7 linked regions of the Macaca fascicularis genome follow. The main gene of each other region encodes a partner of the protein of the gene in region 6 in a complex. Links are inferred from orthologs where the notes say so. Each region holds a gene or a part of one and is shown on either strand. Other genes may lie near its edges. The genes, in order: SNW1, SF3B5, RBM48, PPIL2, CWC15, CRNKL1 and SNIP1.

Evidence for each region.
Region 1: CRNKL1 (region 6) and SNW1 share a complex: the UniProt entries of both Homo sapiens proteins name them as parts of the minor spliceosome. The link is inferred for Macaca fascicularis from reciprocal best matches to the Homo sapiens genes CRNKL1 and SNW1.
Region 2: CRNKL1 (region 6) and SF3B5 share a complex: the UniProt entries of both Homo sapiens proteins name them as parts of the minor spliceosome. The link is inferred for Macaca fascicularis from reciprocal best matches to the Homo sapiens genes CRNKL1 and SF3B5.
Region 3: CRNKL1 (region 6) and RBM48 share a complex: the UniProt entries of both Homo sapiens proteins name them as parts of the minor spliceosome. The link is inferred for Macaca fascicularis from reciprocal best matches to the Homo sapiens genes CRNKL1 and RBM48.
Region 4: CRNKL1 (region 6) and PPIL2 share a complex: the UniProt entries of both Homo sapiens proteins name them as parts of the minor spliceosome. The link is inferred for Macaca fascicularis from reciprocal best matches to the Homo sapiens genes CRNKL1 and PPIL2.
Region 5: CRNKL1 (region 6) and CWC15 share a complex: the UniProt entries of both Homo sapiens proteins name them as parts of the minor spliceosome. The link is inferred for Macaca fascicularis from reciprocal best matches to the Homo sapiens genes CRNKL1 and CWC15.
Region 7: CRNKL1 (region 6) and SNIP1 share a complex: the UniProt entries of both Homo sapiens proteins name them as parts of the minor spliceosome. The link is inferred for Macaca fascicularis from reciprocal best matches to the Homo sapiens genes CRNKL1 and SNIP1.

Annotation. Positions count from the first base shown.
Region 1 is NC_088381.1:145,710,803-145,714,639, forward strand, and holds part of SNW1 (SNW domain-containing protein 1), read right to left. Parts: intron 882-3,837; coding exon 728-881; intron 1-727. UniProt on the Homo sapiens protein: Involved in pre-mRNA splicing as component of the spliceosome. As a component of the minor spliceosome, involved in the splicing of U12-type introns in pre-mRNAs.
Region 2 is NC_088378.1:48,298,816-48,301,803, forward strand, and holds SF3B5 (splicing factor 3B subunit 5), read right to left. Parts: upstream 1,283-2,988; 5' UTR 1,207-1,282; coding exon 946-1,206; 3' UTR 597-945; downstream 1-596. UniProt on the Homo sapiens protein: Component of the 17S U2 SnRNP complex of the spliceosome, a large ribonucleoprotein complex that removes introns from transcribed pre-mRNAs.
Region 3 is NC_088377.1:128,832,731-128,836,567, forward strand, and holds part of RBM48 (RNA-binding protein 48), read right to left. Parts: intron 3,073-3,837; coding exon 2,927-3,072; intron 761-2,926; coding exon 192-760; intron 1-191. UniProt on the Homo sapiens protein: As a component of the minor spliceosome, involved in the splicing of U12-type introns in pre-mRNAs.
Region 4 is NC_088384.1:31,438,492-31,441,961, forward strand, and holds part of PPIL2 (RING-type E3 ubiquitin-protein ligase PPIL2), read right to left. Parts: intron 1,635-3,470; coding exon 1,578-1,634; intron 867-1,577; coding exon 794-866; intron 705-793; coding exon 642-704; intron 524-641; coding exon 390-523; intron 67-389; coding exon 1-66. UniProt on the Homo sapiens protein: Has a ubiquitin-protein ligase activity acting as an E3 ubiquitin protein ligase or as an ubiquitin-ubiquitin ligase promoting elongation of ubiquitin chains on substrates.
Region 5 is NC_088388.1:93,956,548-93,961,149, reverse strand, and holds the start of CWC15 (spliceosome-associated protein CWC15 homolog), read left to right. Parts: upstream 1-1,549; 5' UTR 1,550-1,850; intron 1,851-2,955; 5' UTR 2,956-2,963; coding exon 2,964-3,094; intron 3,095-3,980; coding exon 3,981-4,093; intron 4,094-4,402; coding exon 4,403-4,491; intron 4,492-4,602. UniProt on the Homo sapiens protein: Involved in pre-mRNA splicing as component of the spliceosome. Component of the PRP19-CDC5L complex that forms an integral part of the spliceosome and is required for activating pre-mRNA splicing.
Region 6 is NC_088384.1:67,252,727-67,256,999, reverse strand, and holds the start of CRNKL1 (crooked neck-like protein 1), read right to left. Parts: upstream 2,815-4,273; 5' UTR 2,701-2,814; coding exon 2,650-2,700; intron 1,009-2,649; coding exon 856-1,008; intron 1-855. UniProt on the Homo sapiens protein: Involved in pre-mRNA splicing process. As a component of the minor spliceosome, involved in the splicing of U12-type introns in pre-mRNAs.
Region 7 is NC_088375.1:197,372,227-197,376,603, forward strand, and holds the start of SNIP1 (smad nuclear-interacting protein 1), read left to right. Parts: upstream 1-1,545; 5' UTR 1,546-1,609; coding exon 1,610-1,833; intron 1,834-3,090; coding exon 3,091-3,193; intron 3,194-4,377. UniProt on the Homo sapiens protein: Required for pre-mRNA splicing as component of the spliceosome. As a component of the minor spliceosome, involved in the splicing of U12-type introns in pre-mRNAs. Down-regulates NF-kappa-B signaling by competing with RELA for CREBBP/EP300 binding.

The sequences.
Region 1 (3,837 bases), on a different chromosome or scaffold from region 6:
TCCATATTGGTCAGGCTGGTCTCAAACTCCTGACCTCAGGTGATCCGCCCGCCTCGGCCCCCCAAAGTGCTGGGATTACAGGTGTGAGCCACTGTGCCCGACCGGAGGCTTGTTCTTTGGCAACAAGCTAGCAATAGAAAGGGCTATTCCAGATGGTTCCTTCTCCCTCATTGCCTTCAAATCAACCAAATTTTGTCTCTTATACCCACAAAAACATATTTAACCTATATATCATATATATATTAACATTCTCAAATTAAAGGTAAGAAAACAAGTGAAGAGAAAGAAATTAGCAAAGGAAGTGCTACTGGAGTTTTCCCTGAAAGAAAGTTCTCTCTTCAGGGTTATGTGGTATTACTGGAGGGGAGGAGGAGGAGCCCAAACATGAAATCCACTTTCATCTCTCTTATCTTTTTACCTTCCCATTATTTTCCATATGCTATAATTCCTGGATTTACAAAATGTTAGTTTTCTGGTAAATATTTAATAGTTTGATATAGGAATAGACAAATGGTACAATTCTCTAGTGACCACAAAGCAGTGACAGATAATAAGCAAAAAGAAAATGATACATCTTCTGAGCAAAATATACATCTTGAGAGCGCATAACCAGAATTTCTATCACACTGACATTCATAATCAGAGGTCCTAACATTTAAATTTATGTTATAGTGTGCTATAAATTTCAGCACAACTTAATAAATTTAAACTTAAGATCCATATGTACCTCTAATAACCGAGGTATCCAGCCTTTCCGGTATCCGTACGGGGGAGGCTCTCTTCGGGAGGAGACCAGTGAGGTCTGCCGCGATCTTTGGGATCTTGCCTTTTCTTCAGCCTCAAGCTGGTCCTGAGATAGCTGAGTAGGTGCGGGTAAAAAGCTATAAGCAAAGATAATAAAAGTCAGAAATTTAAAAAACGCTTATGTTTAATTTGACCACTGCAACTTGGCCACAGAGACAAATTTTCCTACAATGCTTTTACTTTTCAGCGAAACAGCCGATTTTTCAATGATTTATGGTAGTACTCAATATTAGTCATTTTATAACATGTGGAAGACAGAAGTACTCAAAGACATACAGTAAAAACATCTGACTAGGACAATAGCAAATGATATCCAGAATAAAAAATTAACATATATTTCATATAATAGACAAACTCTTAAGCATTTATGCTTCCGTATTTCCCTTTTTTTTTTTTTTTTGAGAAAAAGTCTCACTCTGTTGCCCAGGCTGGAATAAAGTGGTACCATCTCCACTCTGTGCAACCTCTGCCTCCTGGGTTCAAGTGATTCTCCTGCCTCAGCCTCCCAAGTAGCTGGGATTACAGGCATGTGTCACCACACCACGCTAATTTTTGCAATTTTAGTAGAGATGGGATTTCACCATGTTGGCCAGGCTGGTCTTGAACTTGACCTCAAGTAATCCGCTGACTTCGGCCTCTCAAAGTGCTGGAATTACAGGCGTGAGCCACCACATTTGGCCACGCTTCCATATTTGTCTTTTTTTTTTCTTTTTGAGACACAGTCTCTCTGTGTCACCCAGGCTGGAGTGCAGTGGCACCATCTCGGCTCACTGCAGCCCCCACCTCCTGGGTTCAAGTAATTTTCCTGCCTCACTCTCCCAAGTAGCTGGGATTACAGATGTGCGGCATCACACCCAGCTAATTTTTGTATTTTCAGTAGAGACAGGGTTTCACCATGTTGGCCAGGTTGGTCTCGAACTCCTGACCACAGATGACCTGCCTGCCTCGGCCTCCCAAAGTGCTAGGATTACAGGTGTGAGCCACCACACTCAGCCTGTTTCCATATTTCTTATAACAAGCAAGTAAACATTCCTAAAAATCCAGGGATAAACTGTCCAGTATATACTTGCTATTCTTATACTCCTTTTATTTTTTTTGAGACAGAGTCTCGTGCTGTTGCCCAGCCTCGAGTGCAGTGGAGCAAACTCGGCTCACTGAAACCTCTGTCTCCTGGATTCATGTGATTCTCATGCCTCAGTCTCCCAAGGAGCTGGGATTACAGGTGCGTGCCACCACACCCCTAATTTTTGTATTTTTAGTAGAGACAGGTTTTTGTCATGTTGGCCCATGTTGGTCAGGCTGGTCTCAAACTCCTGACCTCAAGTGATCCATCAGCCTCACCCTCCCAAAGTACTAGGATTACTGGCATGAGCCACCATGCCTGGCTACTCCTTATTTTTAACATTTTTACCCTTATGCTCCTTAAACTACTTCAGTGTAAATACAAAAGAACTAGGATTAGAACAAAGAGGTAGCTAAAATAAACACGAGTTGTATATTTAAGTGCCAAGGGAATCTAGAATGAAATTTAAAACTTAGAGGCCAGGCCAGCCATGGTGGCTCACACCTGTAATCCCAGCACTTTGGGAGGCCGAGGTGGGTGGATCACCTGAGGTCAGGAGTTCAAGACCAGCCTGACCAACATGGTGAAACCCTGTCTCTACTAAAAATACAAAATTAGCCGGGCGTGATGGTGCGTGCCTGTAATCCCAGCCACTTGGGAGGCTGAGGTAGGAGAATCACTTGAACCCGGTAGGTGGAGGGTACAGTGAGCCAAGATTGCGTCATTGCACTCTAGCCTGGGCAACAACAGCAAAACTCCTTCTAAAACAAACAAACAACAACAAAAAAAAACCTTAAGAGACCAAAGAATCAAAGCAGAAGCCCTGAAGATGCAGCTTATTCTTTAGTCAAGGTAACCTTTCTACTAAACTGTTCTTAACAACTTTTAAGTATTAAAGTATTATAGTGATACTCTAAAGTACTACAAAAGGATCCTGATGGCTGAATATGGAGAAAACAACCTTAGTTCCTTTGTGATTCTTGGATAGGAAGCATACCTAAGTAGCAGAGCTTATTAATTATTCAAAAATATTTATTATTTGGGTTCAAGCACTATGCTAGGCATGAGACTATAAACGGAGTCTTGCAGAGACAGAGAACAAAAAAAAAAAATCACACAAATCTATAATTACACATGTTAAGTTATGATGTTAAGATACTAAGATGCTATGAGTCTACATGATAGGGATCTAATCCAGTCTGGGGCGGTAAGTGATGGCTAGGCTTAGATTTCAGATCTGACCTATGCCACTTACTAACCTGGATAAGCTACTTACCTCTCTGAATCTGTTTTCTCATCTGTAATAATAGTTCATAAGAGTATCTACTTCATAAGGTTCTTATAAATATTAAATGAGAGAAATCCATGAACCTGTTGGCATAGTATCTAGGCACTTTCAATACAGGTTCCGTATGTTTGATAGTTTTAGGGCTGTACCATGACTCTTCCAGTTTGGGTTAAATGCCCGTCTCTATGCTCCCCTACAACCCTCTATATACCACTACTACAACATTATCTTACTGTACTGCAATCATCTACTCATTTATCTACTCTGTTTTCACAAGACTGTGAGCAGCTCTGCAGGAATCACACCTTATACTTCTTTCATCCCTAATGCTCCAAGACTTTTAACTTCACAGCTGGAGCTCCTTAAATGCTGTAGGAGAAATAAATACACTCTTCCCCGGCACTCACCATCTTCATTTCGCTATAGCCTTCTTATCTTACCTTAAGCCATCTCAGGATCTTTACATTGGCTATTCCTTCTGCCATAAAATCTATCTGTCTGTCTGTCTCAATCGATTACAGTTTTTCCGGCTGGGCGAGGTGGCTCACACCTGTAATCCCAACACTTTGGGAGGTCAAAGCAGGTGGATTACTTGAGGCCAGGAGTTCAAGACCAGCCATGCCAACATAGTGAAGCCCTGTCTCTACTAAAAATACAAAAATTAGCCAGGCATGGTGGCGGA
Region 2 (2,988 bases), on a different chromosome or scaffold from region 6:
ATGTCACCATCTCAGTAACTTGTGTATCATATTTAAGATTATGGCCCTACCAACTACTCCCACCCACACCACGTACATTGTTCTCCCCTCCCCGCAGCATCTTCTAACATTTACTTATTACGTCTACAGTGTTTGACCTCCTTTCTCCACCACCAGCATAATGTAAGCCTCAAGACCATGGGAAAATGCCTGTCACATAGAGCTCAACAAATATTTGTTGAATATAGAAAGGATGAACTCACTTGCCAGCTTGTCATTTCTGGAGACATGGCCACAAATTCCCAAGAAAAAGAAAGGATGCATTTTAAAGAGGCTAAGGAGGACAATGACAGCAAAGACTGCAAAGACTTTTAAAACGGGAGAAAAAGAAAATGGGATACAATAACCACAAACTTCAATACTGAAGGCATTGTGGGCCTGAAAATAACGCTCTTGGGAGAAGTGGCAGTCGGGGAATTAATTATAATGGTAGACAGGGTGGATTTAAGTACCTGATCATGGACACTGGCATGCACTCCCTCCCCCGACCCATTTCCCGCTCGGGTCTTTCAGGAGCCCTCCACCCTAACACAGGAAGTTCACACCAAGAGAGTGAATGATTTCTAAACTTTATGGAAAAAGCCAATGACAATCAATTAGCCAAAAATGAGACGCCAAATCCCATCTCATTCCAGCGCCACGCCCTCTTCTCAAACGCTTGCCGGCTCTAGGCCCTCTTCACCAACACAGTTCTCAGGGGTTCTGCTGGTCTCCCAGTGCTATTCCAAAGGGTTCACATGAAGGCAGGTCAGGCGGGATTCCCCGGGCAAGCACTTCTGTACGCGGAAGTACCAGACGCAGGAGCCATGGAGAGCCGGTCCTTTGGAGGCAGAAATAGTCGAAGGGATTGGCCAACCTGAGGAACACTGGGAGAGGTGCCCCGCACAGTGGTGGTAAGGCAGAGTCTCAGTTCTCCTCGGGCTTGTCGGCTGGCGGTCCACAAGGCTGAAGCATCTTCTCCATCAAATTGAAGCGGACTCGCGCTTTGCTCTCATTCTCTGCAATGGCGAAGTAGTTGAGAAGGTCGAAGTGGCCCATGTAGGAGCAGTACGAGTCGCGGTGTTGGTTCACCAGCCACTCCCACTTGGTGGTGTCGGCGTGGCCCGTGCCGATGTACTTGGACTGCAGGTGCTCCAGCTGGCTGTGGATGGTGTAGCGGTCCGTCATCTCGCCGCTTTCCCCTTAGTTCCCAGGACAGAGGACGCAGACAACAAATCGCCGCTCTGGCGTTTCACGCGGGAGTGAGGCCACCGTGCGGAAGCTCCCGGCCCGCGCCGTCGCAGAAGAATGGCGTCACGACGACTAAGTAGCGTAAGTCTCGCTCATAGGGCTCAAAGGCGGAAGCGGAAGCACATTCTGTCACGGAATTGGAGTTGCCGAGGCGACGCCACAAGTGTGTCGCCCCTGTAGAGAGCCCCGCCCCGTCAGAGAGCTTTGCATGATGGTCCACTTGGTGGCTATGGGAAGCCCTTTTCCAACAGGGAGCCTTGCATGCTGGGACTTGTGGTCTTGGGAGTTCGTGCTCGTAGGCTTCTGGAACTCCTGGTCTCGTTTTGTTGTTTGAGACAGAGTCTCGCACTGTTACCGGGACTGCAGTGTAATGGCGCGATCTCGATTCACTGCAACTTAACGCCTCCTGGGTTCACGCGATTCTCCTGCCTCAGCCTCTCCAGTAGCTGGGATTACAGGCGCACACCACCACGCCAGGCCAATTTTTTTTTTTTTTTTTTTTTTTTTTTTTTTGTATTTTTAGTAGAGATGGGGTTTCACTGTCTTTGCCTGGCTGATCTCGAACTCCTGATTTCGTGATCCTCCCTCCTCGGACTTCCAAAATGCTGGGATTACAGGCGTGAGCCACTGCGCCAGGCCCCTGGTCGCGTTTTAAAAGTGATCTGGGGACCTAGTGGAGGGTGATGTCTGGGAGGTGGGGAGCATCCGTGGGTGGCTTGGGGCTGATGGGAAATGGGAAACCCAAGTAGGACTGGACTACAAGCAGCCCCGAAAATAAACTCTCCCTGTTTTCCAAAGCTATCATGGTAGCACAGCCATCCCTTCACAACCAGGGATGGATTTCCCAGAAGTCGGCAGGCACAAGTTCTGGTCCCAGCTATGTCTCTTAGGAGTCTGTGGCATAAAAGAGTTATTTCAGCTCTAACCAGGGTGCTTGGTGAGCAAGTACAGCACCAATTCCCACACATTCCGGCTTCCACCTCAAGCTCCTCCTTCCTCTCTAGCCACTTATTTTGATATCCTTCCTCCAAGGCCTCACTGCACCCTACTTGGCCCTTCCATTCAGTGGGTTTTGTGGATTCAACCGACCCGATTGAAAATATTTGGGGAAAAAGTCAGTCTGTACTGAAGTGTAGACTTTTTAAGGTTATTATTCCCTAAACAATACAGTATAACAACTATTTACATAGCATTTACATTGTATTAGGTATTGTTAAATAATCTGGAGACAAACTATACAGGAGAATGTGCATATGTGCAAATACAAGCCATTTTATATCAGGGACTTGAGCATCCTCTAGTTTTGGTATCCATGGGAGTCATGGAACAAATCACTCACGGATACTGAGGGACAACTGTACTTCTCCGTGTTACCTGTTGTGCCCATACCCATTTTCTTGTACAAGCTGTTCCCTCTACGTGGAATGTCTGTTCCCTTGGTGAATACATCTCCCAAAAAGGCAGCTCAAATGCATCTCCTTAGAGTTTTCTCTGGCTGCTCCAGACAGATGTAAACTCTCCTTCCTCTTTGCAGGTTATACATCTCTTCCTTGTTATTGCTTTATATCCTACCGTTTGGTTTAATAACTTCCTTACATGGGTAGAAGCTACTTGAAAAAAAAAATCCAAAACAAAAATTTGATAAATGGTTAAATAACTCTATTACAACGGAAGGGAAGGAAAACTTTACTAGGAGAGAGATAACTTGAAAATTATTTT
Region 3 (3,837 bases), on a different chromosome or scaffold from region 6:
AAGCAAGTATTAACAGTTCAAAGCAAATAAAATGTTAGCCAAATTCAGTTATTTCAACAGAGAACTATAGAAAAACACATCAAAAAACTAAAAAGTGAAAAAAATTACAATACTATTGTTCCCACAAATAATTCCCCATTTAGTCCTATAACCAAATCGTCTCTTAGAACAGTTTTTAAAAATAACCTTACCTCTTTAAGTTTATTCCGAATTAAATTCGCAGTTGTATTCAATGAGTCATCGTGCATATCCACTTTAGACATGTCTGGTAACAGAGGTCCAATCATAACCTCATTACTACCTGAGTTTGTTTCAAGAAAAGTTCCAAGTTTACGATCATCTTCTCTTCTTCTTTTGCGCTCCTGCAGTTGTGTTGTCCTAGGCATAAATCTGTCAACTGCCTCTGAAGACGTAATAGCCTTTTGCACACCAGGGTAGGCCACTGAGTTCTTAAAAGTGTTTATCTGTGTTTTCTGCAAAGAGTCATTGTGGTTATAATGCCCCATTGTTTTATGATGATTTCTACCATCCTTAGAGGAGTTTGATGCTCTGTCCACATGTCCCCCGGATGAACACATACATTTTGAGGAGAAATAACACAAAGGCAATTCACAGGAATACGGAAGATAAGGATTTGAGTTCCCTGCAGAAGTGTTCAAAGCAGCTTTACAAAAGCCAGACATCTCTGAGTGGAAGTCTTGTCTAAAATCCTCTCTGTCTTTATGCTCTGTAACCAATTTCTTCTTTGTCACGTTATGGTCTTTATATTACAATTTAAAAGTTGAGGGAAAGAGAAACATAAGTGGTTAATCTATTGTTTTCATCATTGAGAATCATATAATTTTTAAAAATCACTTAAAAATGTTAACAAATTATACTCCAAAAAAACTGTTTCTTGAGAAGGGAATATATTCACATGGTTTAAAACCTAAAACGGATAAAAAGATATACAGCATCAAGTGTCACCCTTTCCTTGCACTCCATGGGTCTGGTTTCATCCCCATAAGTAATCACTATTGTTTTTTATTTATCTGTTCAGTAAGTTTTACTTTGCCACCTTTCTCCCATTCTTTTTCTCCCCACTAAAAAAGGTAAATGTAATATCCATTTCTCTGCACCTCTGCATTTTCCATTTCACTGTAGATCTTATATAGGTTTTCCACCATTATACAGAAAGTTTTTTTTTTTTTTTTTTTTTTTTTAACAATTTCAGAGTATTCCACTATCTGGATGTATCATGCTCCTTAGCTTGTGTTTGTCAGTTACTAAAGAAAGCAATATGCTTGTCCCACTTCTAGGGCTGGCAAGGGCCTCTTCCCTGGTTTACTCTCCCAAAAGCAGTCTACAACATGGAGTGTGGAAGATGTGGTATAGATGAAATTGGCTATGTGTTGATGATTGTTGATGTTAATATTAATACATGGGAGATGTATTAACTTAGTCTTTCTGCCTTTGTGTTTTGAAATTTCCAGGCCAGGCACAGTGCCTCACGCCTGTAATCCCAGCACTTTGGGAGGCTGAGGCAGGTGGATCACGAGGTCAGAAGATCAAGACCATCCTGGCTAACACGGCAAAACCCCGTCTTTACTAAATATACAAGAAATTAGCCGGGCGTGGTGGCAGGCGCCTGTAGTCCCAGCTACTCCGAAGGCTGAGGTAGGAGAATGGCGTGAACCTAGGAGGCGGAGCTTGCAGTGAGCAGAGATCACGCCACTGCCCTCCAGCCTGGGGGACAGAGCTAGACTCCATTTCAAAATAATAATAATAATAATAATAATAATAACAATAACTTCCATAATAAGAGTTTTTGAAAAGTAAGACCAAGTATACAAATGCATCGCACAGATGCTAAAATGCTGATGAAAGACAGCTTAACTGAAGTGTCCAAGGCCAAGCAAGTCAGGTTTAATTCTGAGATCAGCAGCACGGCAAAAAGATCTTAAGAGGAAGGGGAGCAAATAATGAAGATAACCCTAGGCTGTCACACCAACACTGAGATAATTAAAGCAGTTAAAAAGTAAGCTCTGGAGAAAGAGTCCAAAGCTTGGGTTTTAATCCTTATTTTTGTCCTTAATTCATCTCTAATAATATAGGCCGGTCACAAACTTTCTGAGACTTAGTTTCCTCACCAAGAAAAATTAGGACACAGGTCAGATAATGTCAAAGGTCTTTCTCCACATTAATGTTTTATAATGTCCTTTGTCATACAAACACATTAAGTTTTCCTGGTGCTATTTATTTACTTATCTTACAAGTTAGACTTCAATGGATACAGATGACTGGGGATTCTCAACAGCTCTCTTGCCAGATTTCTGAGTAAGTTTTCCAAGAGTTTTCCCACTTTATTTCTCTCTACCACTATCTGGTAGAAGGGGCATATGGGGGCATTTAGTCAATTGCTGGTCAAAAGTAGAACTTCTCCATGATTAGCAGTGACAACTAGTCTGCAAATCATAACTGCTTCTCACTGCATTCTGGTCAAAGCCTTAATTCCTTAGCATGGGACACAAGGCCCTTCATGATTCACTTCTTATCCACTTTTCTAAACTTATCTCTCACTGAAACCTTTGAGCTTTGGTTATACTGTATTAACTAAATTTCCTTAAATGCATGATGCTCATTTATTCCTCTAAACACTTAAACATCCTGCCTGGCTTGCCTTTCCATCTTTTCCTCTCCCTTTTAGTTAATGTCTACTTATCCTTCAAATTTCAGCCACTTCTCACATACTGTAGGAAGTCTTCTATGAACCAACATTTCTCCCTTCTCAACCCAGATTATGTAGTGTGCTGTAGAGAACCCTTACAGTTACTGAATACTGTGATGCTTTACTTGCCTCTCCTCCCACTAGACTAGGAATTGCATGATGATACACCTGGCAGAGTACCTGACATACAGGAGGCATTTAGCAATATGCTTTCCATACCTTTATTTTCAGTAGTTTTTACTACATATGCCTTACGCACTTGTAGTTTTTTTCTAGTTTCTTCAACTGTTTCAAATTCTGGCGCATAGCACACATGAAGCAATCCACCAAAGAAACTCTGTTCATCCATTTTTCTCTTGGCTGTCCTGAATGGAAATACAAGATAGCATGGTTTTTTAATCTAGATTTACTTGGGATGAAAGCTTAACTAGTATACAATATCTGGATCTAAAGAGCAAAGTCCAACTTTTGCTATGTGTATATATATCCTGTGGATTGGGAATTAAGATGCTCTGCTTGTGGACAGTATTCATTCCATTGTTCGAGTATGTACTTAGAGCCTCCCCTTTTCTTCCCTTCGAGCCTCTTTGTTTCCTAGTCTTTAAACAACTAAGGACCCAGCTGGTTGGCCTGAAGTATATAAACTGTGGTCATAAAATAGAGCTTTTCTCTGTGGCCCTGAAGAGTTACTTCATACCCAATTAAGCTTTTTCAGCACAATGTATTTCTGTAATGGGATTCTTGCCTTAAAAATCAGATGAAAAATACTATAATCATAAAACGTTCAATAACTGAGGAACTATTAAACATATAACAATGAGAAAATGAGAAGAATGTTATTCAGTCAATAAATACTTACTAAACATCTATGATTGGCCAGGTACTACAATAAATATAACTACTTCTGTATCCAGGGATAATGATAAATACTTGCTCAGATTTTACCATATGCCAGGCAATGTTGTAAGTGCTTCACTTGAATTAACACCTAACAACAACCCTGTAATGAAACGGAAGCACTGGGACATTACATAACTTAGCCATGCTCATACTCTGGTTTGAGGAGCAAGGATTCAAATCCAGATGTCTTACTTCAGAGCCTACTAGACTAGGTACTTTGGAAAACAGAA
Region 4 (3,470 bases), about 36 Mb from region 6:
CTGGGCTTCTTCTTGGACATGGGGACAGTGGCGCTGGTTGAGGGCTCTTCCTCTGCCGCTCGCTTCCTGGGAAGAGAAGAAGCCGCTGGGAGTCCACGCCCTCCCTCGGCCCCTCCTGACTTGTCTGTATCTCCATACGGCCCTCCCGGTATAGGACCAACCCCTCCCACCTGCTGCTCCCACGTCCCCCTGAATTCGATGGCTTCCACCCACAGAGGCCCCGGCCAGGCCTTCAGAGGTAGTCCCTCGGCTGCAGAGGCCACACAGCACAAGCCCATGCCCAGGTCCAGTGCCCGTGGCTTTCTTGCCCCTCTGGATCTGACCCTCAGACCTCAGTCAGCCCTAGGAAACACCATGGGAAACAGAGAGGCCAACCGCGCGGCACTCACGTGGCTGCTGGGTTGATGTACTTGCCCACGCCCTGGCGGAAGGTCTGGGGGCCCTGGCTCCCTGCCTCGGGCTGGCTGCTCTTCACTTTGGTCTCCGGGGCTGCCTCGAGCTGTGTCTTCCGCTCCTGGGCGATCTGTGGCACAAGAGGGTGGAGGCTGACCAGCAGCACCTCGGGCAGGACAGATGCTAGGCTTGGGGTGGGAAGGTGCGCTGGCCCAGACCCTCCTGGTGGTGGCATCGTGCCCCCTCACCTGGGCATCAGCCTCCTCATAGGGGTCCACGAACACTGTAGTGGCATCGATGCGGATCTCCTCCTAGCAGCAGAGGGGACTCAGTGCACGGCAGGTCCTCCCCCCGCCTGCCTGGCCCCCAGCCGCCACGCCCCACCTCCCTGGGCACAGACCTTAGGGCGGTCAGTTTTGGGGTCACTCTCCACATTCTCCATGGCTGTCAGTACGTCAAAGCCCCCAACAACACTGCAGCAGGGAGACAGAGGCGGGTCTGCATGTGCTCAAGGAGGGCACCCTCAGGGCCGGGCACCAAGGCATGTGGGAAGAGGGGTTGAGAGCCCCGAGGCTGGCCTGGTGGTCCTCGGGCAGCAGCCAGGAAGGCGATGAGAGGGCGTGGCAAGGGCGGGGTCAGCAGACCATGGCCCTGGGCATATCCAGCTGGGTTTTTTTTCTGGTTCTCTTTTGGTTCCCCACCCACAGGAAAAATAGGAGTCACAAATGTGGCTTGTGCTGTCCCCACTGGTTTGGTAACAGAGTTCCACTTGGCCAGAACCACATCACCTGCATCCACCTTGTTTTGTGCTGCTTCCACACAGTTGGGTGGGCGTCAAGAGACCACGCGGCCCACAATGCTGGAAAGACCCCTGGACTAGAGGGTGAAGGGAGCTGGGCGTGGCCAGGCTTGTGAGTGGCGCGCCATCAGGTCTGAGACAGGGCAGCGGCCAGGCCACGCAGGGGTGTTTCCTCCTCTCCTGAGCCCGGTGGGTCTGGAGAGCCAGACTTCCCTGGCACAGGGAGCACCCTCTGTCCCAGCTCTGCATAGCCTCAACCCCCAGCAGTGACAGCCAGCACGGCACATGGCTCAGGTCCACAGAGAAGGCAGCGAGGAGGCCTCAGGTGGGGAAGGACCCCACCTAGCCCACTGACCCCCAGGCTTCACACAGCCGCTTCCCTTACCGTCCAAAGATGGTGTGCTTCTTATCCAGGTAGGCACAGGAGCGAAACGTGATGAAGCTGGGGAGGAGGGTTGGATGGTTAGGGAGAGCATGGCACCTTCTGCATCTGGCCTGCCTGAGAGCACACCAGGAGCTGCCCACCCTCTACAGTCGGCTCTGGGAACCTGCGGCTTCCGTGGACACGTGGGTGCATGGGGCTCCCTGCTGCTGCCCACCAGGGCAGGTCATCAGCTCCCCAAGGCTGCCCAGGGAACCCCGGACCTCCAGCTGTCCCCAGGTCCTCCTGCTGCCCCGGCTGCTGCCCAGTGCCTGTCAGGGAGTCCCTGTGCCCAGAGCCAGCCTGGTCATGCAGGTCTGTGGGAGGTGGCTGGGACAAGGTGACACCTGGAAAACCAGAGCCAGCCCCGTGCCATCAAGGGACCTGTCGAAGGACTGAGGAGAAAGGAGGCAACAAAGCCAGAGCAGAAATCAAGGGATTCAGAAACGTGGGTAACATAAACATGGACAAAGAAAATGCTCAGGTCATCCAGACACAGTGGCTCACGCCTGTAATCCCAGCACTTTGGCAGGCCGAGGCAGGAAGACCGCTTGAGTCCAGGAGTTGAAGAACAGCTGGGGCAATAGCGTGAACCCTGGAGGCAGAGGTTGCAGTGAGTTGAGATGGCACCACTGCACTCCAGCCTGGGTGACAGAGCGAGTCGCCGTCTTAAAAAAAAAAATTTCCGGCCGGGCGCGGTGGCTCAAGCCTGTAATCCCAGCACTTTGGGAGGCCGAGACAGGCGGATCACGAGGTCAGGAGATCGAGACCATCCTGGCTGACACAGTGAAACCCCGTCTCTACTAAAAAATACAAAAAAACTAGCCGGGCGAGGTGGCGGGCGCCTGTAGTCCCAGCTACTCGGGAGGCTGAGGCAGGAGAATGGCGTAAACCCAGGAGGCAGAGCTTGCAGTGAGCCAAGATCACGCCACTGCACTCCAGCCTGGGCGGCAGAGCGAGACTCTGTCTCAAAAAAAAAAAAAAAGCCGGGCATGGTGGCTCAAGCCTGTAATCCCAGCACTTTGGGAGGCCGAGACGGGCGGATCACGAGGTCAGGAGATCGAGACCATCCTGGCTAACACAATGAAACCCCGTCTCCACTAAAAATACAAAAAAATTAGCCGGGCGTGGTGGCGGCGCCTGTAGTCCCAGCTACTCGGGAGGCTGAGGCAGGAGAATGGCGGGAACCCGGGAGGCGGAGCTTGCAGTGAGCCGAGATCGCGCCACTGCACTCCAGCCTGGGCGACAGAGCGAGACTCCGCCTCAAAAAAAAAAAAAAAAAAAAAAAATTTCCAGGAGGAGCTTGCCTCGGGATGGTTCTTTTACTTTCCTCGTATCTGAGTTTAATTCTGCTTCTAGTTTCCTTCACTGTGTTAGAAATCAGCCAGAGAGAACCACTTGCAGGTCAGAGCGCAGGTCTGCCCCATTGTAGACGTGACATCTGTGGACACTTGTCTGGTGGCCTTGGGGGTGGTCAGACTCGGTGGGCTCAGGATCATGTCCCTGCGTGGCTGGGGGGGTGCATGTTCGATGCAGCGGGGGTTAGGTCCTGTCTCTCACCAGCAGGGTATGTGGGCTGTGCCTGCCTGCACCACCCTGGGGTGCTCCGTGCCACCAGTGCTGGGACCCACCCAGTATCTTCCACTGTATTCCTTTCAGCCTCTCTGGCTCTGCCCTCTGAGGGCTTTTTGAAGGCTCACAGCTGGGGTCTGTCGCGTTCTCATTCATCCCAAAAGTCTTTTTTTTTTTTCCCTTTGAGACGGAGTCTCGCTGTCACCCAGGTTGCAGTGCAGTGGCGCGATCTTGGCTCACTGCAACGTCTGCCTCCCGGGTTCAAGCGATTCTCGTGCCTCAGCC
Region 5 (4,602 bases), on a different chromosome or scaffold from region 6:
AAAATAGAAGGAATCTTGCCCTGTTTCGTAAAACAGAAATGCCCAGTTGGCTGTGTCTAGAGCTTAGTGTGTAAGCGAGTGACTGATTGGAAGTGAAGTCTGGAAGTTAGGCAGGAGCCAGACGCCGTGGCGTCTCAGGTCACATTAAGAAATGTGATTTTTATCCTAAGTGCAGTGAAATTTTACACAGGATAGTAACACCATTTGATTAATTTTAAAAGATCACTCTCTTGGCTATATGCAGCATTGACTGTAGGATAAAAGATGACGCAGGAAGATACAATAGGAAACAATTACAATCCAGGTAGGAGATGGTGTTGGCCAGGACAAGGGTAATGGCAGTAGAATAAAATTTCGGGTAAGTTTTAAAAGTAGAATTGGTAAGACCTGTAAATGAACCGTATGTGAAAAGTGAAAGAAAAGGAATTTAAGTAGGCACTCTGGGATTTTGGTTTGAGTAACTAGTATGATGATCGTGTCCTTTAGTGAGACGTGTAAGACTGGAGGAGGGATACCTTTAGTAAGAAAAATCAAGATTTTCATCTTGAACTCTATGAGTGAAAGGGCTTTTTCTGCTTTTCTTTCTTCATTTAAAAGTTGCAAAGAATTTAGAGGTAAGAAAGCATTTAAATATTCAACTTTGTGAGTTCTTTATATTTTAAACTAAGTTGGGGAAGTTGAATTTTCATTTGTTTAACAAATATTAATTGAGCAGCTACTATATGTCAAGGTCTATGTGATGAGATACTAAGATTAGCTAAACAATCAAGATCTCTGTTCTCAGGATTTTTTTTTATGGAAGGGAGGAGACAGGATTGGTGGGTTTTTGGTTTTTGGGTTTTCTCCTTTTCGTTCTTATTAAAACTTAACACTTAAGTAGCCATCTTAGTAATTACATCTTGTGCTCCTGGCAGTTGGGCCCACCGTTCTAAACGCTGTCGTAAATATTGACATCTCCCCTCCCACTAAAACTAACGTTTTTTAAATAAAAAATTTTAGCAAACATTACGAATACAACCTTTGCTTTGAAGTGTTAATATTTTTGCAGGAATGTACCTTTGTAAAGATCGTGGTTGCCCCGTACATATTTGTTCTTTCTTCATATCCAATTAAATGAAAACACTAGTTTTTCCGAAGCCCAACTCTCTAGGTTTGTTGGTTCTAGCTCAGGAGAAAGGATGGAAGCAGGAGTCGTTGGATTTAAACAGTTTGGTGTAATCCTTTTCCACGCTCTCTCCCGCTAGCCGGGGACGTGGTGTCGGCTACCCGGGGCTTTCCGTCCACGCAGTACCGGAATGAAGGAGTCTGGGAGGGGGTCGGGGACGGAAAAGACGGAAGAGACATTAAGTAATTGGTTCTTGAAGGTATAAAATGATGTTTAGGGTCTACTCTAAGGCACTGATTTCAAACGCCCGCCCCCTGGGCCGTTTCGGCCCCGCCCCCTAGTGCCGTTACGCCGACTTCCACTTCGGCCACTGCGGATTGGTCGTTGCTTCCGCCTCCGAAGCGCTTGGATTTTGCTTCCGGGTCGTAGGCGCTAGCCCTGGGCGCAGAGGTTTCTGGGAGCTCGGAGTCGTAATGGCGTCTGTATGATCTTCGGAGATTGCTGCATCGGACCTCGGCCAGTGTGAGCGGCAGGAGGATAGGTTATCTTCCTCATCCCGGTGGGACGGGAAAGGGCAGTTGGGGTCGGAGTCGGCGGCAGAGTGCAGAGTGCGGGCGGTGGAGGACCTAGAGCAGCGGGCTAGGGGCGAAACGGAGTGCCTGTCAGGCGCGTCCGGAGCTCTCGGGCCCGCAGAGGAGATCGCAGCATAAAAGGCAGCGCGCCTACCGCGTAAAGCGAACCCCAGGTCCTCCTTTCACTACCCCTCGCACCCCTGCGGCGCTGGGCACGGGTTAAGGGGCAACGAGTTTCTGGTTATAGCCAAAGACTAGCTCACGAGAGGCCGGAGTAATAATTCCGTTAGTGTGTGGGAAGGGGCGGACTCCCAGCTCCAGATAACCCCGTTTCTTCTTTGTATACATGTCTCTTACTCTTTTTGAAAATTAGGAGAAAGCACTCCCCCCCACAAAAAAAAATCCTCCCAGTTCGCCCACCCTCCCCACACACTTGCTTTTCCGACACTAACAGGGTTTTAATGACTGCATCTGCTAGGCAGTATTCTTGTGACTGCTCCAAGCAGAAAGTAACTTAAGGAATGGGTCCCTGATTTTTGTCATCAGAATCCTCTGGGGCTGAGGTTCCTGTTTTGTTTTTGTTTTTGTTTTTTTTGAACAGTCCTTAAGTTATAACCCACAAACGATCTGATTTATAATATGATGCCTGTTGTAGGAGAAAATTGGCTCAACAAAAGGTTAAGAATTTTTTTCTATGTACCTGTCATTGAAGTTTAACACACTTTCCTTAGTAACTTTTTTCTCAGACACTTAGTAACTTTGTCAGTGATATTTTTTGTTTGTTTTTAGCTTTTGTTTCTACTAGCCTATTTGCTATTGTGTGAAGTTTAGATAAAATGCAAACCTTAGAGAGTCTGGTAGAGTAAGGTTGAGTTGGAAATTTTTAAAACTTAGTCATGGTAGTACTGTATTTTTCAAGGCTTTTGACATGTCAAGTGTCATAATTCTTATAGTAATCCTATGAGGAATATCTCCATTCCACGGATGACAGAAAGTTAAGCCAGGTGACTTGCTCAAGCCCATATAGTCAGAAGGAGAATAGGGATGCAAACTCAGATCTTCATGACAGAATTTTTTGTACTAAGACAAGCCGGAGAAGCCCTATTCGTTGTACGGCCTAAGCCTCATAATTTGTTTTCCTGAAAACTTTTGTTTAAGAAGATTAAGCAGGTTTAGGGGAATGAGTTTTAGAATTTATTTCACTAGTATGGATATTAATACTCTGTAAAATGAGTGTTTGTATTGTTGTAAATAACTTGATTATATTTTTCTTCAAAGCATAAAAGATGACAACAGCAGCCAGGCCAACCTTTGAACCTGCAAGAGGTGGAAGGGGAAAAGGAGAAGGTGATTTGAGCCAACTTTCAAAGCAGTATTCAAGCAGAGACCTACCCTCTCACACAAAGATAAAATACAGGTAGTAAGACTTTCTTTTTTTTCTTTCTTTTTTTTTTTTGTTGAGACAGAGTCTCGCTTTGTCGCCCAGACTGGAGTGCAGTGGCCGGATCTCAGCCCACTGCAAGCTCCACCTCCCGGGTTCACGCCATTCTCCTGCCTCAGCCTCCCGAGTAGCTGGGACTACAGACGCCCGCCACCTCCCCCGGCTAGGTTTTTGTATTTTTTAGTAGAGACGGGGTTTCACCGTGTTAGCCAGGATGGTCTCGATCTCCTGACCTTGTGATCTGCCCATCTCGGCCTCCCAAAGTGCTGGGATTACAGGCTTGAGCCACCGCGCCCAGCCTCTTTTTTTTCTTGTTCACAAAACAAGACCAAATCTGTTAAATGGCATGGTCATGATATAGTAGTATGTTCGAGTTATGTCACTTATCTATTATCATAGGATTAGAATGCAATAGGATGTTTAACACTAAAATTCTGCCCTGTGGTTTTAAAATGCAAAATTCCTACTAACCAGAAATTTTCGTATGTAGATACAACAATAAATAACAGAAATAATAATGCCTCAGAGAGATTATGCACTATCAGCACCAGTCAATATATTAAAAGTATTACTGTTAAGTTCTGAGTTGATAATACCAATAAAAATTAAAGACATTTTAATCACGTAAAGCCTTATTATAGGAAAATACGTGATTGAATTTGGACTTCTTGAAATATTGGGAACATCACAAGAGTGGCTGTTAGTAACTTTCAGATTAGATTATGATCTTATCTACTTCCCTTTTTTATGCTTGAAGGACAAAGTCTCATTCCTGAATTGTCTTCCATTACCACAGTCGTGTGTGTGTGTATGTGTGTGTGTGTTTAAGTAACATTTTTGCCCTGGTTTGTTTCTACTTTAGACAAACTACTCAGGATGCCCCTGAAGAGGTTCGTAACCGTGACTTCAGGAGAGAGTTGGAAGAAAGAGAGAGAGCTGCTGCAAGAGAGAAAAACAGAGATCGTCCAACCCGAGGTACCAACACTATCCAAGACATTTATCTCTAAAATTATGTTGTTGATAGTTTTTCTTTTATGTAGCAACTGGAAAATATTAACCATTTGTTTGCTTTTACAGATTGATGTGAGCTGTAATACTTTCTTAAGTCATTAGAGATAACAATAACAAATATTTACCAAAGGCTTATTTGCCCAGGCACTGTGGATGTGATTTCACTGTGGATAATGCTTTCAGTGTGGGCTCCTCGTGCCCACAGGTCCCTAAAACATTTTAAGAGATGCAGTATTTGTTTTACTAAGTTAAGTGATTTTTGTTTCCCCTCAGAACATACAACCTCCTCTTCAGTGTCAAAAAAGCCACGGTTAGACCAGATTCCTGCTGCCAACCTTGATGCAGATGACCCTCTAACAGATGTATGTTTTGTTTTCTCCTTTCATCTCTAATAATTGATTTACCATGTTTTTCTGAAATACTTGTTATGCCTTTGGCTTTAAGAAGTGACATATATTTGCTTGCTGTTATTC
Region 6 (4,273 bases):
TACAATCAACTAACTGATACTTTGAAATAGTCTATGCTTGTCCCTAATAAAAAATATTTTGACTATTACCCGTAAGTCCTCTGGTAACGTTCAGAATTTCATATATAACAGAATTCATGCTTTAAAACAGTCCCACATTCTAGAGTGAAGAGGTCAAATCAGATCCCAAAGTCTTCTCATAGTCCTTTTGCAGATCTCAATTCCTTTTCCTTTCTTCTCTTTTTTCTTTGAGACAAAGTCTCGCTCTGTCGCCCAGGTCGGAGTGCAGTGGCATGATCTCGGCTCACTGCAGACTCTGCGTCCTGAGTTCCTACGATTCTCATGTCAGCCTCCTGAATAGCTAGGATTACAGGCACTTGCCACCACGCCCGGCTAATTTTTGTATTTTTAGTAAAGATGAGGTTTCACCATTTTGGTCAGGCTGGTCTCAAACTCCTGACCTCAGGTGATCAGCCCACCTTGGCCTCCCAAAGTGCTGGGATTACAGGCATGAGCCACAGTGCCCGGCCAGATCTCATTTCTTAACACAGAAGGTGGTATAGACAGAAGTACACAGTCCAGCCTTACTAAGCATACCCCCTTCCAGTTGTCCGTTGTTTCACCTGCTAAACTTCCACCCATTTTTGATTCAGTACCAAAAATTATGCAGATTCAATTGTTTTATACTTTAACCAGACAACTCAAGGCATATTTTATATAGTTCAGAAAAATGCTGTTATCTGGTAACCAGAAGGCATTATTCATGTGTCTAGGAACACTAACCTCATCTTGCCCTACAGAATCCAACCAGCTTTTCAAACTCTGACTGATACACTCTTAACAATTAGTGGACTGAAAGATACCACACTGACTGACCTTCCTTTTCCTTAGTTTATAATCATTTAATTCTTCTTCATCTGTGATCTTCTGTTGAGGTGGAGGTGGAAGAAGCTCAAGTTCTCTTTCTTTAGCCTCTCTTAAGAGTTGTTCAGCAGTTATCTGTACCTCAGCCGGGGCTTTGTTTTTCACCTTTTAAGAACAAGACATTTCTATTTTTAGTAGATGCTCTTCACACAAGGTTTAAGAAACAAACATACATTTTTTAGGATATGAACTTCATTAGTATTATCACAAGATGCTCTCTTTGTATGACATGTTCCCATCCTCCATGAGACTAAAAAGAAAAAAAAATACTATGTTTTCTCTCTTATTCATGGTATCTACTACAAAGCCACAGGTAAAAGTCTCAAGAGAAAAAGGTGGCAAAAATAATACCAAGTTTTCCCTTTTAGATGAGTATAATAATAAACTTTGAGGCTGTGTAGGTAAAATTCTGACCAGAGGGTTTATCAAGATGTGTAGCACATCTTATTAATAGCATTACCACCTGCATTCGCAGAATTCTTCAACTTATTTAATGCCCCTGGTGGAAAAGTGGGTATGGTTTTTCACGGAACCTCAAGTCAAAGGCACTATTCAATAAGTTCCCATCATTAGACTGTAAGTTTCTTGAGGTCTTAGAAGTTTACAGTCTAACGTAGCTTAGAGCTGTGCTGTCCAACACAGTAGCTATGAGTCACATGTGGTGAGCACAAATTGAGGTGGACTGTAAATGTAAAATACACACTGGTTTTGAAGATGAAGTATGAAAAAAAGAACAAACTATCTCACAGTTTTTATACCGATTACATGTTGAAATTATAATATTTTGGATACATTAGTTCAAATAAAATATATATTATCAAAATTAATGTCACTTTTTTTGCTTTGCTTTTACTTTTTAATGTAGATAGGAGAAAATTTAAAATTTCATGTGCTGTGCACTGTATTTCCATTGGACCGGTGATGCCCAATAAAAGTGTACGTAGCTGAATTATAAAAATTGTTATTTAATGCCACGTGTGGAGTAATGATAATGGTGATAGCTCATATTTAATAAGCACTAAGTGCCAGACACACTGTTACTTGCTCTACATGCATTACTTTTGCGAGTCAGACAAATAGTTACGTAAAGGTCCAGTTCAAGAGAGTCATCTGGGCTCAAGAAAGACTGGAGGGAGGATATCTGTAAAGGCTTCAGACAAATTCTGACACATATTAAGCACTTCGTAAGTATCAGCTATCGAGGGAAATACCAGTTAGTAAATCTACTGTTTAATTAACTTATGATACTATACTACTACTGCCGTCTATTCTCACCCTCCGCTGTCAGCTGGGCTAACTCCTATTCAGTCTTCAAGTCTCAGCTTAAAGGTCATTTCCTCAGCAAAATTTACTCTCAGGAACCCTTCATACGACCCCCTTATTCACGCCCATGGCATATTCTACTTTGCCTCTCAGTAACATCTGGCAAGATCGTCCTCATACACACACTCGTGTTTTGAGTACTGCTTCTGGCCAGCGTCCGAGCGTAGCTTCCCAGCGCCCAGTGCAGTGCCTGGGTCAGTAAATCTTCACTGAACCACTCCACTCCTCCTCCCTGCAAAACCACCCCATCGTGCTCCGCGATGACAAGAGCCCGCGCCCCACCACCAGCTGACCCTTCCTCTCCATCTCTCAGGGTGGGCCCTCTCCCCGGCGGGAACACTGTCTCCCGCCCGGGGCACCCCCAGGGCTGAGGGATGCCCCTCTCCTGGGCCACCTCCCACAAGGCCCCTCGCGATCGCCTACCTTGGCCACTTTGGGAATCCGCTGTTTCCCGGCCGCGGTGGAGGCCGCCATGTCTGCAGCAGCGGACCTCGGGGCACCTGTCCCCCGCACGAAAGCTAGAAATCCGCGGTCTGAGAGCTCACCGAAACCACAAAGATTTCCGACAACAAACAGGATCCCGGAATCGGAAGCGGAACTCGCCAGGCTGACCTTTGACCTCTCGCATGCGCCGTGACGGACGTGGCACCGTTTCCATGGGGACCAGGCTGCGCGTCCTCCTTACAGCAGCGCGCGGAGTGCGGCGTCCTGGAGCTGCGCGTGAGGTGGGTAGCGCCGGCCTGACTAGCAGCGACGCGAGGACTGCGATTCAGGGCGTCAAGGGCGTATCCCCAGGTCAGCCTCCAGAACTGGGATGACCAGGCAAGGAAGAGAGGCTCTGTCTAGCCGTGGCGCCCTGCAAGGGAGTAGGGTCGAAGCTCCAATCTGGATGCTCGAGGGGCGGGGGAACGAAGGGAGAGCGAGGAAACTACCATTCCCAGTATGCGAAGGGGCGAGCTGCCGCCCTTTTAGGCTGTCTGGCTCTGCATTGCATTCTAGGTCTTGTAGTCTCTGGGTCCACGCCCCCTCGTTTCTGGTTTCTGGACAGTTGTGCCCAAATAATTAACTCTAAGGCTTGGAATTAAAAATAACAGAAGGTACTTAGAAGCCAGATATTAGGACAAAATGAAAGTAAAAAATAGAGTAACTAGAAAACAACTCAGTCTTGTGATAAGAAATATGTTTAAATTCTGTGTGTGCCTTAATTACTCAAATTTTCTTAGCCTCAGTGTCCTCAACTATAAAACAAGGGTAATACCATCTGTTTCACTAGGATTAAAGACAAATGCTCAGTAAATGTAGCTATTATAATACTTAACCTGCCCTCAAAAACGGAAAAATTAAGCAAAAGTTAAAAGAATTTTTTTAATAGACAAATTTTTAGAGAAGTTTTAGGTTCACAACAAAATTAAGTGGAAGGCACAGAGATTTCCCCCCTCAACAGCTTCCTGCCATCAATTATTATACCTCTTCCCCACTTTAACAGCCTCCAACTCTCAAAAATATCCTCCACCAGAGCGGTACATTTGTTACAATCATGAACCTACATTGACACATCATTATCACTCAAAGTTCGTAGTTCATGTTGGGGTTCACTCTTGGTGCTGTACATTCTATGAGTTTGGACAAATGTACAATGACACGACTTGGCAGCACATTTGTTAGAATAATTTTCATAGTTGCAAGGCTCTTTTGGTTTTTGGGGAAAATATATATTGTGTATGTAGTAATATCACGTCTACCAATGCAGCTATTGCTTTCAAAAAAAGATTGATGCAGATTTCTAGAACTGCAGTTATAACCAACATCAGTATTTTTGCCATAACTCTTTATTAACCATATTATTTAGATATTTGATCTCACTTTTCAAAATTTAAATAGAGAAGATTTTATATCACTTTCATAAAGCCACCTAACAAAATAAAATATATTAAAAAGATGTTTCTTTGAAATGATTTTCCTTAAATGTGTAACTGTAAACAATTGATTTGCCAAATGAATCATTGATTTAATCATCTGTTGCCTTTGCTCAAACGTACAAACATGT
Region 7 (4,377 bases), on a different chromosome or scaffold from region 6:
TGAGGAGTCGCTCAAAAATCAGTTCACAAAAGGCAGATTAATTGGAGAAAAAGCATACAAATGTATTTAAAGTGTATACACGGGGAGAATCACAGCGTGATTACCCACCCTGAAAGGGGTTCAGAAGCTTATATATCCTCCTGGTAAAACAGACTTATGAGGGTGGGAGAAGGAGGAATTCTGTTCAGGGATTACTAGGCAGAATGAATTAATAAGGGAACAGAGATACATTTGTAAATAGTTTTTTGTTGTTTTTTTGTTTTGGTTTGGTTTTTTTGAAGACAGGGTCTCACTCTGTAGCCCTGGCTGGAGTGCAGTGGTGCCATCACGGCTCACTGCAGCCTCCAACTCCTGGGCTCAAGTGATCCTCCTATCTCTGCTGGGACCACAGGCACGAGCCACCAGCCCCTGCAAAATTTAATTTTTGTAGAGACAGAGTCTTGCTATGTTGGGCAGGTTGGTCTGGAACTCCTGGCTTCAAGCGTTTTTCCTGCCTTGGCCTCCCAAAGGGCCGGAATTACAGGCTGCAGCCTCCGTGTTCGGCTGTAAATAGCTACTTTTGACAGCATAACGGTCTCTGGTCAGGTGTGATTACATTCTTGGGAGGAGAAGAAAGAAACAATTATTCCTTTTGGTAGTCTGTATCTTAGGCAGATAAAGACCTGCGCTTTGGGAGAGATGGTGGGCACCGGGAAGGAACATTGAGGCTTCTTCAGTTCGGCATGTCAGTGCGCCATATTTTGGGGTTTCGATTTCTGAGCCCCAACAGCATTGCAAAAAGTTCAGGAAATAGAAGAGGAAAAGCTAATGATTTGCCCACGGGTTATCATCTCTGATTGCATTTCCATGTCTTCCTCCCTTCTATTTCCAAATGTAAATGTAATTATGGTTTGCGCACAATTTTGTATCCTGCTTTGTCGTTAACAAGTCAGGGTTTTTAAAGTTTGTAAATGGTTTACTAATGGCCACATAACACCCATTAATTTGGCTAACTTCCCTACTGCTGGGTATTTACATTGTTTCCACGTTTTGTAATTACCAGTAATGTGGCAACAAACAGTCTTGAGAGGTTTGCTTTTTCCCAGTTTTTTGTTGTTATTGTTGTTTGTTTGTTTTTGAGACATCTCGCTCTGTCGCCCAGGCTGGAGTGCAGTGGTGCGATCTGCGCTCACTGCAACCTGCGCCTCCCGGGTTCAAGCGATTATCTTGCCTCATTCTCCCGAGTAGCTGGGATTACAGGCGCGCGCCACCACACCTGGCTAATTTTTGTATTTTTAGTAGAGACGAGGTTTTGCCATGTTGGCCAGGCTGTTCTCGAACTCTTGACTTCAGGTGATCCGCCAGCCTCGGCCTCCCAAAGTTCTGGGACTACAGGCGAGAGTCACCACGCCCAGCCAGAAGTTTGTTTTTGAAACTTGAAACTCCCGCCACCCAAGCCGGTCACTGTGGCTACTCCCACTAGGGAGTAGTCACGTGTTTAATATCTGCCGCGAGGATTTCTGGGAGGTTGGGCACCCCGGAAGCGGAAGTCCAGGAGTCAAACTCGTCATTTCCTTCAGCTAGAGGAGCTCAACGGATCTGTTTTCTTTCGCTCAGCCAAAATCACAGAATGAAGGCGGTGAAGAGCGAACGGGAGCGAGGGAGCCGGCGAAGACACCGGGACGGGGACATGGTGCTGCCGGCGGGGGTGGTGGTGAAGCAGGAGCGTCTCAGCCCAGAAGTCGCACCTCCCGCCCACCGCCGTCCGGACCACTCCGGCGGTAGCCCGTCTCCGCCGACCAGCGAGCCGGGCCGCCCGGGCCACCGCGGGAACCGAGCCCGAGGAGTTAGCCGGTAAGTGGGGGAGCAGCCCAGGATGGACGTTGGGTTGGGCTCATTCAGAAAGGCGGGCAGGGCTAGCATCCGAAACAGGTTTTGAATGCTGGGCGCAGCAGCCCGGACTTAATCCTGAGGGACTGTTGAGAGTGATCCAGTCGTGCTTGTGTTATGCTTGCTCTGTCACTTGCCTTATAGCTCGGTGTTCAACGCCTAATGACACACCGGCAGGATCCCACTCCTTCATTCTTGTGTCCCCAGCACTTCGAAGAGTGTAGCCCAACAGATAGCACTGATAATCTGTTAAATTGGAATGAGATTTTCCCCATCCCGCCCACAAATGGAGTGTGGGCCTTGTCTTTCCAGTTACCTGCCAGAAAGGTTTTCACATCGAGGTCTAGGCGAGCTACCTAACAGAAACTGGAAAAATAAAAATAAAAAAAGTTACTTCTTGCTAGACTCATTTATTTATGCATTCATTCACCATAGTTTTACTGAGTGCCTATTTTAAGTGTGAAAGACTGCCCTAGGTATTGGGGCTGCAAGGGCGATTCAGTTAGATGATCTTCACCAGTGCCAAATTGGCCGTGCTCTAACCCTGAGACAGATGATTAAAAAAAAAAAAAAGTTTCAATAACAAGTATTATTGATAGGTTATAACAGTAATGTGATAGAGATTGGAGAGAAGAGGGAGGAGGCCTCTTTAAAGAGGTGCCATTTGAGTCCAGACCTGAGTGATAGGAATGATTCAACCTCTTAAAGATCCAGGCAGAGGAAACAACATCTGCAAAGAACTTGAAGTAGAATGAATTATGATTGAAATGGGAAAAAGCCAGTGTCGGTGGAGTATAGTGGTCAAGAAGGTGGGTGGTAGGAATGAGATGGCATAGGGAGGAAGTAGAACCACAGGATGGAGGGATTGTTCCTGATGCTAGGGGTGTTGGTAGTGAGGGATAAAGAATCAAGGGTGACTTCCGGATGGTGATGCCAGTTAGCAAGATGGCAAGGAGTAGGAGAGGAAAGGTTTTTGAAGGGTTGGAAATTAAGAGTTTTGTTACCTAAGTGAGAAGGTTCAGTAGACAGTTGTCTATGTGAGTATGGAATGCAAGGGAGACGTTAGAGCTAGGAAAATGAACCTCGTGACTCCTTTAATGTGATTGGCAGATACCTTCACAAAAGCAGTGTTTGTGTTAGTAGGTAAGCCTGATACTGGAAGCTAATTTTTATGGGGGAAGGGAAATTGCGATAAAATCCTGTGTACCATGCTCTGTATAGGTCCCCACCCAAAAAGAAAAACAAGTCCTCAGGGAGAAGAAGCAAGTCTCCTCGGAGTAAGAGAAACCGAAGTCCTCACTACTCAACAGTCAAAGTGAAGCAGGTAAGTGGATTGGGGTGTTTTGATGTTGGGTCCAAATTGAGAGCCTTTTCCTATCACAGCTAAAGAGGGCTGTGTGTGTGTGTATTGTGTGTGTGCGCGTGTGTGCACGCACACTCGCCTACATCTCTACCTGTACCTCCAATGGGCTTTTCTGAAAACTGGGTGTATTTCTTTTTTCTGCTTGTTTGCTTAAATTAAACTTTTTATTTTGAGATTATTATTGGTTCACATATGGTTGTCAGAAATAATTCAGGGAGATATACTCTTCCTGGTTTCTCCCAGTGGTAGCATCTATTCATAATAGAACTGTGGTACAATATCATCATCAGAATATTGACATCGATATAGTCAAGATAACATTTCCTTCACCACAAGGAATACCTCATGTTGTCCTTTTGTAGCCACACACACTTATCTCCCACTTTTATCCTTCCTTAACTTCTGTCAACTTCTAATCTGTTCTTCATTTCTATAATTCTGTCATTTCAAGAATGTTATGTAAGTGGAATCATACAGTATGTAACCTTTAGGATTGTCTTTTCTCACTCAGCAGAATCCTTTGGAGATTGATTCAGGTTGCAGCTCTCAGTAGTTTGTTCTATTTCATTGCTGAGTGGTATCCATATGGCATGGATTTAGCCACTTACTCATTAAAGAACATCTGGGTTGTTTCCATTTTTTGGCTATTACACATAAAGCTGCTATATACACATTTGTGTACAGGTTTTTATGTGAACATAAGAGTTCATTTCTCTGGAGTGCAATTGCTGGATTGTACGGTAGTTGCAGGTTTAATTCTTTTAAGAAATTGCCAGACTGTTTTCCAGAGTGGCTGTATTAGTTTCCTAGGGCCACCATAATGAAATACCATAGAGTAGGTGGCTTAAACAACAGAAATTCATTTTCCTGTAGTTCTGGGGCTAAAAGTCAAAAATTAGGGTGTTAGCAGGTTTGGATTCTCCTGAAAAAAATCCTCTTTCCTTGGCTTGCAGATGGCTACCTCTTTGCTGTATCCTTAAATGATCTTTTTTCTGTCCTGGTGTCTTTTCTCAGCCATATTGGATTAGGGCCCTGCCCTCATTTTTTAACTTAATCAGCTCTTTAAAGACCTTATCTCCAAAAACAGTTATTAATACATTCTGAGGTACTTGGGTTTGGTACTTTAACTTGCTAATTTTGGAGAG